Xenopus tropicalis: one gene and its partner. The protein of the gene in region 1 interacts with the protein of each later gene in a biochemical or structural test. Links are inferred from orthologs where the notes say so. Each region holds a gene or a part of one and is shown in the gene's direction. Other genes may lie near its edges.

Region 1 (8,712 bases):
GGGATGGCATTGTGGGGAGATTAGTCGCCCGCGACAATGAAGATTTGTTGCTAAATCTGATTATTTAGGGCAGTGGTACACGGTAGATTAATTGCCCAACGCAACAAATTTTGTTGTCGCAAGCGACTAATCTCCCCGCAATTCCATCCCACCGTCTAGAATGTAAATCAGCAGTGGTATGGCATATGCGTTGCTTCGATGTCTCGCAGTCGCCCGAAGTTGTCTTGAGAGGAAGAGTTGTCATAAAAACAAATTTACTACCAAATAAAGCCCCCTGTAAGCTGACAGTGTGCATAGAGGCTGCCTAATAGCCAATCTTAGCCCTTATTTGGCACCTCCATGAACATTATGATGCTTGTGTTGCTCTCCAAGTCATTTTATATTTGACTGGATGTTCGGTTGGATGTGGCCATTGTGTGACTTGCACCCAACATCAAGGTCATTATCTGAAAGGTGCTGATTAAAAATTGTTGTGAGTATTAGTGTGACAGTTGCAGTCACCCTAAATGACAACCAAATATTTAAAGCCAGAGAGTAGCAGAAAGTGGTCTGTGAATAACAGCTATACGTACAGGAAGAAGTAAAAAAGGGAAAAGATTGCGGAAGGTATAGGGCAATTGTTTGAAGTAGCAATTAGAAAAGAGGAAAATGCCTAGTCTCCCCCGCAGCCAGTGGGATGTGAGAGAAAGAAAAGCCATCATGAGAGAGCACAGGTTTATTGGCATTTTTTATCATGAGAAGGACACACATTCTGTCAAATAACAAAACAAATCAATATAGCACAAGAGAGGGGAGATAGGAAGCAAGTTGGATTCTAAATAAGATTATTGGGCAGAGGTGTAAATGGCTTGAACAAAGGCAAAGTACTGAGAGGATGAAAGCAAATGTGGCAGGAACAAAGATTTGGGTGGATATCACCATTATTAAAATCAAGAGAGGAAGTGGGCACAAGATCTGAAATGGCTGTGCTTCTCTAAAGCAGCAGTAGATGGAGAAGTAAGATTTTGTAAAAAGCCAACATTTTGGAAAATTCATGGAAAAGATTGTTTGGTGGGCAGGCAGGGTAAGATTAACATAAATGGACATAAATTAACACAGATCTATCAGATGTGAACAGTAACACCAAAAAATAAAAGTAATTAAAATATAGTTTACTGTTGTGCTGCACTGTTAATAGTCCTGTGTGTACTGGTGGGGATGCAGGGCAATTAGGCAGATATTAGTCGCCCGCGACTAATCTCTCTGTGTGCCACTGCCCTTAGGGATTAACATTGCTGAAGCACACAGATGTCAACTACTCCCCATGTCACACAAGTAATAATCTAGTCTTGGTGTAAAACTGAATTCCTCTTCACTCTCAGCACCCAAAATGTCACACCCTTTAAAGAAATTATAGTGGAATAGCCTGATGAATGCTTGTCAGGTGATTTAGATGCATCTCTGGGGGTGTTGCATGAAGCTTTGTGGCAGTGCTCTATTCATATACAGGTACCCAAGTGCCTGTGCCCAAGGTGGCAATCTAGAGAGGTAGCCCACAGGTGCCTATATATATTTATATTACGGATGCACCATATCCACTATTTTTGGATTCGGGTGAACCCCGTAAAGGATTCGGCCAATACCGAACTGAATACGAATATGGAAAGGATATGGAAGGGTTAAAGAGCCTCATAATAAATGTTCAACTTCCCTGTTTATGTGACAAAAAGTCACGTGATTTTAAGGATTTGGTTCGGCCAGGAACATGAATTCACCCAAAAAGGATTCGGCCAAATACCAAACCGAATACAAATACTAATTTACATATGGAAATTAGGATATGGAAGGATTAATGAGCGCCATAGGAAATGTTCAACTTCCGTGCTTATGTGACAAAAATTCACGTGATTTTAAGGATTTGGTTTGGCTAGGAGAATGTATTTGGCCAAATCCTGATGAAAAAAGTAGAATCTTACCCAAATCCCGAACCGAATCCTGGATTCGGTGCATCCCCTATATATATACATACCCCCCAAGTGTCCCAGTTTTTACAGCGCAACCCGCTGTCCCAGATTGTTCAATGAATGTCCCGCATTACGAAAATGCAGAACATTCATTAAACTATCCAGGCCAGCGGGATGCGCTGACTGCAGCCAAGCGCTCGGGCTCCGTCTAGTCCTGTGGCTCCTGCTTCTTATTCTGCTCCTCGTATGGCGGTGACAGGCCCTTTTATAAGTTTGCGCCCGTGCGTATGTGTGACGTCACACGTACGCACGGGCGCAACCTTATAAAAGGGCCTGTCGCTGCCATAGAAGGAGCCGCATAAGGAGCAGGAGCCACAAGAAGCAGCGTCTATGTGGGGCACTGTGTATGGGGGGCATTTACTATTGGAGGTACTCTCTATGGGGGCAATTGGGGGCTACTGTGTATGGGGGGCATTTTCTATTGGAGGTACTCTCTATGGGGGGCATTGTGTATGGGGGGAATTTTCTATTGGAGGTACTCTCTATGGGGGAAATTGGGGGCTACTGTGTATGGGGGGCAATGTGTATGGGGGCTACTGTCTATTGGGCCATTGGGGGCACAATTTTAACTATTTTAAAAATAGGGTGTGGAAATTGGGGCGTGGCCACAAAGTGGGCGTGGCCAAACAAATTTGCCGTGCTGCGCGCACCAACTCTTTTTGTCCCTCTTTTCATTTTTCAAATGTTGGGAGGTATGTATATATAGATATATATTTGCAGCTTAATCCAGAGTTAAAGCCAAGGTGGAGGGGGGGTTCTTTTCTCTTCTGTGATAGTTGAGTACGCAGACTGTGAAGGTGGTCTGGGGGCCGGTGCCTAGGGCAGCACCGAGCCCGGATAGAGCTGCTTTGTGGTAGCCTTTCCCAGGCCCCGTCCTGTGGTTGGGGGTGATGACATGACTGGTCAGGCTACAGGCCAATCAGGGAGAGACACCTTATTGTGACTGTGCTTTCAAGATGATTCAGATGGGCCAGAGAGGTTTATAATATTAGCAGCAAGTGTATTGCCTGTAATAATAATGGCCCAGCCCCAGCTGGTGTGCTACTGGCCCAGAGGCAACCCTAACCTTACCGCTAACCTTGCCCCCAGTACAGCCACACTAGCCCTGTGCCATTACCCCAAATGGTAACGTGAAATCAGGTCAGAACAGGGTTACCACCTGGCAGCTGCAAATGCCAATGTTATAAACATGAAAATCAATACGATTAGAGCAGAGCTGGTATTTATTGTCAGAAAAGGTGGCAACTCCCAGCCTGTAATATGCTAGGGTTGGCTCATCCTCATAACATGCGCTTGGCATTAAAACCCACATAACATTTGCGTGGGTGCATGTAACGGCATAGTACTTCCTATAACAAACTGTATGGCCCTCATAGCCACAAGCTTACTTAGTCATACTATAAAGCACAGAACCCTGTATTGCTACTACACAGCAGCCCCACTGTGAGGAGTTTCTACATATCCCAAAGTGCTTTGAGTGGATTTCCTGGTCACGGCGCCCACCCCACAGCAACTCCCAGAGTGCTCTGCGCAGGTTTCCTGGTGACAGCGGCGAGCTGAAGGGGCGAAGCGCTTTTGAGGGGAGGAGCCTGGGGTGAAAGCGAGGCTGGGAATCCCAGAATACCAGGCTTGAGCAGGCAGGCAGCCTGGCGGGTGTGGACTTAGCTGTTCTTCCCTCAGTGTAAAAGGAGGAAGCGATGCGCAGGGCTGGAAGATGGCTGAGCTACAGATGTTACTAGAGGAGGAGATCCCCGCCGGGAAGAAAGCTCTGATCGAGAGCTTCCACAACCTGACCCGGGTGGCCGACTACTGCGAGTCCAACTATATCCAGGTAAGCGGCGGGCTGGTCAGCACCCTGTATTCGGGCGTGTTTATGTCAGTGAAAGGGGAGGGGGGGCAGGAAGTGGGGCATCCTGAAACTCAAACATATCCAACTGGCGGCCTTGCTAGGGCTGCATATAGACAACAAGCGGCTGCCAGGGGCTCATGGGAGTTGTAGTTCGCTTACAGTTGCGGGGCTACAGATCGGAGCCCCCTTGGAGGGAGTACTTTCGGTATGGAGCCTGTGTCAGTGCTAGCGGCTGTGGGTGTATCCCGGTTCAGCCCATAGGGTGTTGCCCTTTTTTTTTTTGTTTGATTGTGAGTCACCTCCCAGAGATCTCCCCTGGGTGCTGTAAGGCAGGAGGGTTATGGAGCGAAGCCCTAGGCACATGTCTCTGGGGCTGCCCTGCTGCCATTAATATGGGGCTTTGTGTCTCCTGCCTGTCTAGACACAGCCGGGAAGCATTGCCTCTCCCTGGGAAGGACTTCAGGGAGCCTTTGTCTAGCAGCTCAACTCTAGGGTTCCTCTACCCAGGGGCTGCCTTTATAACAAAGCCCTTACACCTCTAGCCTTCTGGCTTTCCATTTATCATTATTCTTATAATATTCAATGGTGCCAGTGCAGGGATGGGGTTAGGCAGGGCCCTGTGCCCTGTATTGGGCAGTGTTTAAATGGCTGATGTGCACCCTTCTATTGTACAGCGCAGCAGTATATGCCGGCACTTCATGTTACTATTAATGATATAGATACACACAAGTAAGAACACAAGGGTGTTAGTGTCAGTCTGTCGCTTCTATGTGGCAGGAAGGGCTCTGTAGTAGTATTGTATTACAGGAACTTTCATTCTGTTGGTCAGCATTTATGAAGGTGATTTCAGGTACAGAATGGTCAGATACTCACCCTGCCTTATATCAGGGGAAATAAAGTGCTGCTCTGTATGCTGGAACCCTGCTGTCCAGGTGCCTGTTTTCTGTTGCCTTGAAATTAACCTTTACTATGGCATGGAGAGTTTTTATTTTATTTTTTTATTGTAACTTTTTATTTTTAGTTATTTTTACATTGCAAAAGACACACTGTAGTTGGCTTTGTGAAATCGCATACTTCAAGTACTTCGAAGTATACTTCGAGTATAGCAGTGCAAAGTGTATTTATGTTGTCCAGACAGTGATAGAAAAGAAAACAACAACAATATGAAAAACTGTATAAATGTAATAATAATCAGTTGGATGCACAGTAAGAGGGACAGAGGGGTGTGAGTGTGACAGATCGGTTCAAAAGAAGAACTTTTCAGAGTTTTTTAAGGGATCATGTTGGGCTGGGTGTAGGTAAAGCAGTCAGGAGGCCAGACCTTGTAGCTCTCACAGTGCCCAGACAGCCATATACTGAGCTATTGTATTCTGGAGAGTTGCTATCCCATATTCAGTGATCCTATTGGTACTAACTGTTTCTTCAGGTAGGGTTTATTCGCTGCAGTGATCTGTCTGATATGTTTGTTTTTATTTTTCTCTTCAATAAAATTTCAGTTACAAAAGAAAAAAAAAAATCAGGTAGGGATGGTGAATCCCAGGGTTTTCCACTTGGATTCTATTGGTAGTTGTGCAGCTGTAAGAATAGGATTAGCCAAAATGTGGCCGCTTCTGCGGGCATGGATAGTTTTGTGCCAAGACGATTTGTCATTTTTTTTTATTTCACAGTTCTCAGGCTGGGAATTGAGGCCGCTTGCTAGTTGCTTGGGCTTAATTACCATGGCAACCAGGTGACAGCTTGGAATTCCGAATGGAAAGTGGATATAGGGGGCATTATCAGACAGATAAGCAATAAAAATGTAATAGCAATAGATTTGTGTCATAATCCACATGTTAATGGGTTTTGGTGTCCCAGACTCCAGCCTTCTTGATCTGCTGCTGAGGAGAATAATAAATCAAATTAGTCTGAAATTATAATCATGTTACTTAGATTAGGTCCATGCTAAATGTTTATTTAAAGGGGAAGTTTAATGAAACACATCTTTTACTTTCAACAAAGTAAGAAATCACCCCCATAACTTTGGGATTGAGCATGTATGTTATGGGGGTTGTTTCTTCCTGAATACAAAGTGCCATTTATATTGCTATAAGCTAGGATTATATTATTACAGGTATGGGCTGTATTAATATCACACATTTATAAAGTGCTGACATTCTGCAAGGATGCAATATTACAAAAGGCACAAGAACTGTTCAGAAGCAACAAAGCTACTGTGGTGCATGTTGCAATTATTTGACATGTGAATAAATCCATCAGTTCTCTTTTTGAGCCAATGGGCTGCTGTGCCATAGAGCTGAATGTGAGGCTTTGCGTCAGACAGCATTGTGGAATGACAGCTGTGGCATAGCCTCTGCTTGATGCGAAAGCCTTTGCAGCTTTCTTGTAAAATGTATTTTTGGCTCAGGGATACAGTTGTATGCCATTCAGTATAGCTTAATGTTTGTAAAGAGGTAAGCTAGATAAGGGATCTTTCCATAACCTGGAGCATTAAAGGGGTTGTTCACCTTTTAAATTAACTTTTCGTGATGTAGAGAGTCCTATTCTGAAACAATTTGCAATTGGTTTTCATGTTTTTATTATTTTTGTTTTTGAAATATTTAGCTTTTTATTCAGCAACTCTTCAGTTTGGAATTTTAGCAGCTATATGGTTGCTAGGGTCCAAATTACCCTAGCAACCAGGCAGTGGTCCAAATGAAAAACTGGAATAAGAAAAGCAGTGGGTCTGAATAGAAAGATAAGCTGTAAAAAGTTACAATAATTATGAAATTGTAGCCACAAAGAGCAATAGTTTTTTGGCTTCCGGGGTCAGTGACCCCCTTTTGAAAGCTGGAAAGAGTCAGAAGAGGAAAGCATATTATTCAAAAATGATTTTGAAAAGAATTGCTAGAAGTGAAGGTGTGAAGGTGAACCACCCCTTTAAGGCCTATGTCACACCATTTTCTTCTGCCCAAAAAGGCACACTTGTGTGTTTTTGGGCAGAAATCCTCCCTGTATGGGCAACTTCCTCTCTATGAACCGATAATAACTGATGACATCACTAAGGACTGTTTATAAGGATATCATTTATAGATATTTATGGCTGATGTGTATTGAAGACCGTAATAATGCATTGAATAAAATCTTGCAGCTTAATGTGGCAGTAGATGGTCATTGCTTAGTTTATAAATGATGGCACTTTGTTAATGGTATTGACTTTAGGATGGTCTCCAGTTGCACAGATACGTGGGTAATACTGTGCCATTCACTCAGGTCAGAAGTCACATTGTTTTGGTAAGAAATGACAAGAAGAAATGGCAAAACAGTCAGGCTGGAAAAAACTGCACCTTTGTGACTTGGTATTGATTATTATAGTTTCTTCAAGAAATAAGAGTAATAGAATGAATGAGGGTCAAGGTAACTGCCTTCTACAGGATCCTGCTGCATGTGGCCATAGCCTCAGTTCAGACACATTGACAGAAACGAGATCCTCTGCACTCACCCATTAGTAATATATATAGGACATACATAAGACATTCTGTGCATTAAGCTACCAAGCAATGCCCTCCCCAGTGATTGTTTGTCCATATATTGCAATATATTCAAGCTGGCCAACTACATCAAAGTCATCCCTGGTCTGGCCAGTCCTACACTCACTTTCATCTGATTCATTAAGGCTTTTCTATAGGGGCTAAGTTTTACGTGCAACTTGCTTTCTATGGTTTTCACCTGACAGAAGCTGGAATATCTCAAATATATGTATGAGAGAAATGGCTGCTTGGCAGTGACTAGTTAACAAGACTCCCCCTGATTGAAATAACATAAGAATCCCAGGCCAGAGAAATCTAACAATATTCTGGGCCCCCAGGTAGACACAGTCCCAGACTATCCCATGGCACAGTCTGCATTTGCATGTATGCGCTTAATCTTTCCCAGGACTGGGTCATTTATATCATACTACTGACTGTATACAAGTATTCGTACTCTGTACATTCTTATATGAACGCCAATGCATTTACAGCTTTCTCCACTCTGATGGCATGTTCATCTCTCATGACTCGACTACTCATTTCTTTTGTCACTCCTTTGTTGTACCTGATAAGATGTTTAAAATAAATAAAACCTATAAAAATAAACACAAGGTTTCATTTATCAAAGGTAGTTAGATCTCAACAAAGAACTGGTTTCTCCCGCAGATCAAGATTTTTTTTAAATACTTTGCAAATTTTCTCGTTCATGTGTTCTTACTCAAGAATGGAAAACACACTAACCGTTCTGTGGCATTTTTCACATGGAAAAAAAAGTACAAGCTTGCATAAAAATTACAATCGGATCATAAAAAGAGACCTTGTGGGTCAGATTTGTAAAGGCACAATCACACAAAATTTGAATTGTTGGCAAAGCAATAATGCCGGTGTAAAAATCACTTGGGGTAATAAAAATCTGGCCCAGTCATAGTCTGGTTTAAGGGTTAGGTCACCAAAATTTTTTTGGTATGATGTAGACAGTGATATTCTGAGACAGTTGGTCTTATTTTCTATTTTTTTGTGTCTGTTTGTGTTTTATTTAGATTTTTGTTCAGTAGCTCTCCAGCTTGGAATTACAGCAGTTACCTGGTTGCTAGGTTCCAGTTTGCCATAGCAACCACACAGTGGTGTGAATAAGATGAGTAGGAGAGGAAATAAGTAGAAAGTAACAATAACATTGCAGCTTTGCCAGGCTTTTGGCTTCCGGGCTAAGTGATTCTTGATAATAGAAAGGCAGCAATCATATATACTTATATATTTATTTTCAAAGAAGTGGACATTCTATAAGATGCTAAAAACCTAAAAGCAAACTACCCCTTTTGGCTTTTTTTTTGCAGTGAGAAATTTGACTCTTATC
Region 2 (6,742 bases), on another chromosome or scaffold:
AGTGGCTGGGGCCGCCCCCGGCCAGTGAGACGCTGGGCTGCAGACAGTCTGTATGTGCTTTGACCAATAACCTGCAGCAGATCCTGTAACAGACGCTAGTGCCCCGTGTGGCTTTGTGAGCAGCTTTATTCAACTCATTCTGCTTCTTTTGCAGGTCGGCTTAATATTCTCTCATTTCCATTCTCCCGCGACAGGTGTAATACCCGGGCCCCCGGCACCTCCTCCCCCACCGCCTCTTCCTCCTGGTTCCAATTTGTCTCCGGTATCTGCCCCCCCAGCTCCACCTCTGCCCCCTCCACTTCCACCTTCGTGCCCAGCCCCACCTCCACCCCCTGGGCCGCCACCTCCACCTGGACCTCCGCCGCAGCTACTCAGCCAAGCTCCTCCTCCGGCTCCTCCTCCTCCGCCAGCACCTCCTCTTCCATCCTCTGCAGCTTCCTTTGGATCAGAAGAGAATCGTCCTTTATCCGGATTGGCTGCTGCTCTTGCAGGAGCCAAACTTCGAAAAGTGTCTCGGGTAATTCCAGCATTTTATTTGTGTGCTTTACGGCAGCTCAGTGTTTTAGCCTGAAATTTAGTTTCTTACATTAATTTATTGTTGCACAAATTATCCTAGTCATATCCTAAACCCGATCTCTTTTGTGTTGTAAAAACACTTAAATATACCTGTAGAACTGTCATAAATACTGAACAATTACTTATATAACAATACATATACATATGGTATCTCTGTACAGGCTATGAGCAAACTTAGGGGGCTGTTCCTGCTGAATTGTGCTTAGTACAGGGGAATCCCTATGTGCCATAGTTTTATGGTATCTCTCTGTACAGGCTATGAGCAAACTTAGGGGGCTGTTCCTGCTGAATTGTGCTTAGTACAGGGGAATCCCTATGTTCCATAGTTTTATGGTATCTCTCTGTACAGGCTATGAGCAAACTTAGGGGGCTGTTCCTGCTGAATTGTGCTTAGTACAGGGGAATCCCTATGTGCCATAGTTTTATGGTATCTCTCTGTACAGGCTATGAGCAAACTTAGGGGGCTGTTCCTGCTGAATTGTGCTTAGTACAGGGGAATCCCTATGTGCCATAGTTTTATGGTATCTCTCTGTACAGGCTATGAGCAAACTTAGGGGGCTGTTCCTGCTGAATTGTGCTTAGTACAGGGGAGGGAGGGATATGGTGTTTTTATACAGCATCTTCTCCTGCCTGCTGCTTACATTAACCCTTTCACTGCACACTGATGTTCTGACTTTTCCTACCCCCCCCCCCCCCTCTCCTGTATTCAGAATGAAGATTCCTCCCCTCAGGGGGCTGTAAGTGCCACTGGAACCAGCTCCGCTGCTGCTGCTGCTGCTGCTAAACCAGAACCGAGCCGTGGGAATGGGCCGCTCCCAATGGGAGGTGGGGGGCTGATGGAGGAGATGAGTGCCCTGCTAGCCAGAAGGTTAGGCCTGATGCTTGGCCTAGAGCGGTTATTGGACCCTGTGCAGGGAGGATAATGGCTTAACCCCTTGTTTTTGTCTTTCTCCCAAAAGGAGGCGAATAGCAGAAAAAGTACCAACAGTAGAAGCTGATCCAAAGGAAGACAAAGCTGTGAGTATTTATATATACATATACACATATACTTGGTAATGGTATGACTTTCCCAGTAATACTATGGGCACACAGAATGGTATGACTTTCCCAGTAATACTATGGGCACACTGAATGGTATGACTTTCCCAGTAATACTATGGGCACACAGAATGGTATGACTTTCCCAGTAATACTATGGGCACACGGAATGGTATGACTTTCCCAGTAATACTATGGGCACACAGAATGGTATGACTTTCCCAGTAATACTATGGGCACACAGAATGGTATGACTTTCCCAGTAATACTATGGGCACACAGAATGGTATGACTTTCCCAGTAATACTATGGGCACACTGAATGGTATGACTTTCCCAGTAATACTATGGGCACACAGAATGGTATGACTTTCCCAGTAATACTATGGGCACACTGAATGGTATGACTTTCCCAGTAATACTATGGGCACACAGAATGGTATGACTTTCCCAGTAATACTATGGGCACACTGAATGGTATGACTTTCCCAGTAATACTATGGGCACACAGAATGGTATGACTTTCCCAGTAATACTATGGGCACACGGAATGGTATGACTTTCCCAGTAATACTATGGGCACACAGAATGGTATGACTTTCCCAGTAATACTATGGGCACACAGAATGGTATGACTTTCCCAGTAATACTATGGGCACACTGAATGGTATGACTTTCCCAGTAATACTATGGGCACACGGAATGGTATGACTTTCCCAGTAATACTATGGGCACACTGAATGGTATGACTTTCCCAGTAATACTATGGGCACACAGAATGGTATGACTTTCCCAGTAATACTATGGGCACACTGAATGGTATGACTTTCCCAGTAATACTATGGGCACACAGAATGGTATGACTTTCCCAGTAATACTATGGGCACACTGAATGGTATGACTTTCCCAGTAATACTATGGGCACACGGAATGGTATGACTTTCCCAGTAATACTATGGGCACACAGAATGGTATGACTTTCCCAGTAATACTATGGGCACACTGAATGGTATGACTTTCCCAGTAATACTATGGGCACACGGAATGGTATGACTTTCCCAGTAATACTATGGGCACACGGAATGGTATGACTTTCCCAGTAATACTATGGGCACACGGAATGGTATGACTTTCCCAGTAATACTATGGGCACACAGAATGGTATGACTTTCCCAGTAATACTATGGGCACACAGAATGGTATGACTTTCCCAGTAATACTATGGGCACACAGAATGGTATGACTTTCCCAGTAATACTATGGGCACACAGAATGGTATGACTTTCCCAGTAATACTATGGGCACACAGAATGGTATGACTTTCCCAGTAATACTATGGGCACACAGAATGGTATGACTTTCCCAGTAATACTATGGGCACACAGAATGGTATGACTTTCCCAGTAATACTATGGGCACACAGAATGGTATGACTTTCCCAGTAATACTATGGGCACACAGAATGGTATGACTTTCCCAGTAATACTATGGGCCTATAGGATAAGTATTCCAGCAATGTTGTGCTTACATAGAAATGAAAGGGCTTGAGAATTGCCCTTTCCCACCGTGCATACTTATAGAAACAAATGCATTACTGGAGCCTATACATACACTGTGCCCCCAGTGCAACCATGTAAAACGCCTTTCCTTCCAACACATTTGCACTGAATAATAATAATAATAATACCTGCATCTTGTTATTAACAGGAGGAAGCACCTGAGTCTGTACCTAGCAAGGCCCCCTCGGCCAGCACTCCCGGTGAGTAGCCTCAGGAACCCTGGGGGACCAGTCATTAGTTTGCTCACAGAGCAATTACAGATAATTCACATAAGGGTTTTGTTATAAACACCAGAGTCAATGTAAATGAGATTCTCAGATCTACACTGCCGCTCTAGGTACTGGCCCAAGGGGACCGATATGCCCCCCACCAGTGACTCAGGGGCAACATGCTGCTCCCGAACCCCATGGATGTTGCTCTCAGTGTCCCCAAAGCAGGGAGTTATTTTTGAATTCATGGCTTGGAGGCATAAGGACATTGTGTAGCAAACAGAGCCCCCTGCAGGCTGTTGGTCCACATAGGGACTGCCAAATAGCCAATCACAGTCCATATTAGGCATCCCAGGAACTTTTAAGGGTGAAGACACACGGAGCTACTAGTAGCAGCTACTTGTCACGGCTACTAAAATAGACAATGCTGATAATTTACGGATAACTGTCTCTACGTGTGTTTTAGCAGAGGCAATTCTCAGTATTGTCTATGGCAGGGGATTTTCTGGTGTTTAGTAGCCATGAAAAAGTAGCTGCTACTAGTAGCGCAGTGTGTCTTCACCCTAAATGCTTGTGTTGCTTCCCTGACCTTTTATAACATTCCGTCCATAGATTCAGGTAGCCCTTATCTCATTACTAACCTTGCTTGTCTAACCGAGCTGCTGAGGCGGCAGAGCAAAGGAACCACTGAACCTGTACAAAGCATAAATACAGTATATGAAATCAGAGCCCCTAATGTAACAGTAAATAACAGAGCATTATATTCTTTATAATTAAGTTATAAAATGTTAACGTATATTCATTGAATGTAACAGAGCTGCTGTTTATGTTTCTGTGCAGAACCAACTAGGAAACCTTGGGAAAGGACGAACACAATAAATGGCAGCAAGTCGCCGGTTATCTCTAGGTATCCCGCTCGCTTTAGTTATTTATTCCCATCGTTTGGTCAGAATCCCCCCCTAACCATGTACTTAGAGCCCTTTATTATCTGCACCCGTTTATACTTGTCCTTTTTACTTTTCCAGACCAAAGTCTACACCATCTGGGCAGCCAAGTGCCAATGGAGTACAGTCAGAAACATTAGACTATGACAGATTGAAGCAGGTACAGAATCACATTCATGGGCAGTTTGGATTGTGGTGGGGCTTTTATTTGAGAGGGGGGGTTAAGCTTTAAACAAAGCTGCATTAACTGGAAACATCCAGAAATAAATCATTAGGGTTGAGGAGACTGCCTCATACGTATGCAAATAAACACAAGGAGTTCTGGGAAGTAATGCCAAAGAGCTTTTTGGGATTAGTTGCCAGAATTCCTTGTGTTTATGGGAACAGCCAGGAAATGGAAGTGTAACTGCACAGTGGAGCTGCTAGATGGCAGTATTTGCACAGCTAGAACATACAAAGGGTTAAGGTGGCCGTACGGGGGCAGATTTAAGCTACCTTCAGACTCGGCAGTTTATCTGCCTATGTATGGGTAATCACGACCGGCCTACCAACTGATATTGGGCGCATCTCGATCAGGCAGGATTGATTTTCTCTCGGATTGGGGACCGCGTCGGCTCATTGGTGCAGTCCGATGGCGCCCAGTTTAATTCCATAGGACAAAACAATAGAATCAGCCCAATATTGGGTATATCGTGAGAAATGTTTGGCAGGGTCCCCAAACAAGCGGATTGCACTGTATATGGCCACCCCCCTATCAGGTCTTTGGAATGGGGGGGCTGTTATATTGGGGGGAATTTTGTTGCTTATTATCAGCCATATGTATTTGATGCATTGTGTGGGGGGGGGGGTAAGTCCCAATAACACAGGTAAATAATGGAAGCGCTGGGGGGCAGGAGTCATGTTTAGTAACTGTTTTTCTCTTTGCACTGTAGGATATATTAGAAGAAATGAGAAAAGAACTAACAAAACTTAAAGAAGAACTTATTGATGGTGAGTGTAATCAGATTAATGGCAGATGAATTACTTGCCCCGCCCCTTTTGTGACATCCGAGGTGGACGGGTTGAGCGCTGATCTATAAATACAGGGTACCTGCCGGGTTGGGCTCAGGCTGGGAGCGGGCGGGTTAGGGTCAACCTGGACAACACTACCAGGGTCCCTTTAGGGCCAAGACACATGGGGCGATTAGTAGCCAGGACCTTTTAAAAAGTCACAGCAACTAAGGATAAGAACCCACAGAGCAGTTGAGTCGCCTGTGATAGATCTCTGCTATCGCGGGTGACAATCCGCTCCGAAAGGGCAACAATAGGAGTGACCCTTAGGGTGAAGACACACAGAGCTACTTAGTAGCAGCTACAGAAACAGACAACTGCTGATCATTTACTGATAATTGCCCCTACGTGAGTTTAGCAGAGGGAATTCTCAGTACTGTCTGTGGCAGGGGGTTTCCTGGGATTTAGTAGCCGTGACAAGTAGCTGCTACCGAAATGCCATCCCACCAGCAAGAATGTAAATCGCCGGTGGAATCGCACACGCAGCGCCAAAATCTCCAACGTTTCCTCTTGAGGCAACTTCGGCGATCGCGGCACCGCGTATACCATCCCACCTGCAATTTACATTATATATAGCCTGTGGGATGCTATATTGCCCGCGATTAATCTCCCCGTCTGTCACGGCCCTAAGGTAAAGACACATGCGGCAATTCGTAGCCATGTTTTTTTAAAAAGTCGCAGTGACTAATCCACACAGCGAAAACCACATGTAATTAATAGCCACGGCTTATATAGTAGCCTATGGCAGGAAAGTTGCAGTGACTAATCACCCCATGTGTCTTTGCCCTTAGAGTGAACTACTTATAGCAGCTACTGAAATAGTCAGTGCTGATCATTTACTGATAATTGTCTCTACGTGTGTTTTAGCAGAGGCAATTCCCAGTATTGTCTATGGCAGGGGATTTTCTGGCGTTTAGTAGCCGTTAAAAAGTAGCTGCTACTAAGTAGCTCTGTGTGTCTTCACCCCTAAATTAAGGGCACTTGGCAGCTTTGGTCTGTATATAATATTATATTATGTGACTGTGGCTTCTCGTTTCTCGGCAGCCATAAGACAAGAACTTGGGAAATCAAACAACGCATAGAGAAACCAATGAGGGAGGAGATCTGTTCCCTTGTCCTGGATAGAAGAAATGCTTCACGTTTCCTACAGAGATTCACAGAGGTCCTGCACCTGGGGAGCCGCACACCAACACCCACCCGAGACTTCTCTTGGGATGTACGAGATTTGACACTTGGGGGGTTTCTGCTATTTCCCTGAGCTTCGAGAGCCGCGGGGAAACCGTCTTAAAGTCACAGTCACCATTATGCAGAAACGGTGATTTTTTTCCTTTCAAAAGGGGGCGAGAAAAAAAGAAAAAATCATGTTA

Evidence for each region.
Region 2: the proteins of abi1 (region 1) and enah form a complex in vitro, tested with the Homo sapiens proteins (2 studies listed by BioGRID). The link is inferred for Xenopus tropicalis from reciprocal best matches to the Homo sapiens genes ABI1 and ENAH.

Annotation. Positions count from the first base shown.
Region 1 is NC_030682.2:24,954,186-24,962,897, forward strand, and holds the start of abi1 (abl interactor 1), read left to right. Parts: upstream 1-3,626; 5' UTR 3,627-3,717; coding exon 3,718-3,834; intron 3,835-8,712. UniProt on the Homo sapiens protein: May act in negative regulation of cell growth and transformation by interacting with nonreceptor tyrosine kinases ABL1 and/or ABL2. May play a role in regulation of EGF-induced Erk pathway activation. Involved in cytoskeletal reorganization and EGFR signaling.
Region 2 is NC_030681.2:8,527,368-8,534,109, forward strand, and holds the end of enah (protein enabled homolog), read left to right. Parts: intron 1-194; coding exon 195-517; intron 518-1,286; coding exon 1,287-1,444; intron 1,445-1,535; coding exon 1,536-1,593; intron 1,594-3,320; coding exon 3,321-3,372; intron 3,373-4,221; coding exon 4,222-4,288; intron 4,289-4,406; coding exon 4,407-4,485; intron 4,486-5,257; coding exon 5,258-5,315; intron 5,316-6,419; coding exon 6,420-6,457; 3' UTR 6,458-6,717; downstream 6,718-6,742. UniProt on the Homo sapiens protein: Ena/VASP proteins are actin-associated proteins involved in a range of processes dependent on cytoskeleton remodeling and cell polarity such as axon guidance and lamellipodial and filopodial dynamics in migrating cells.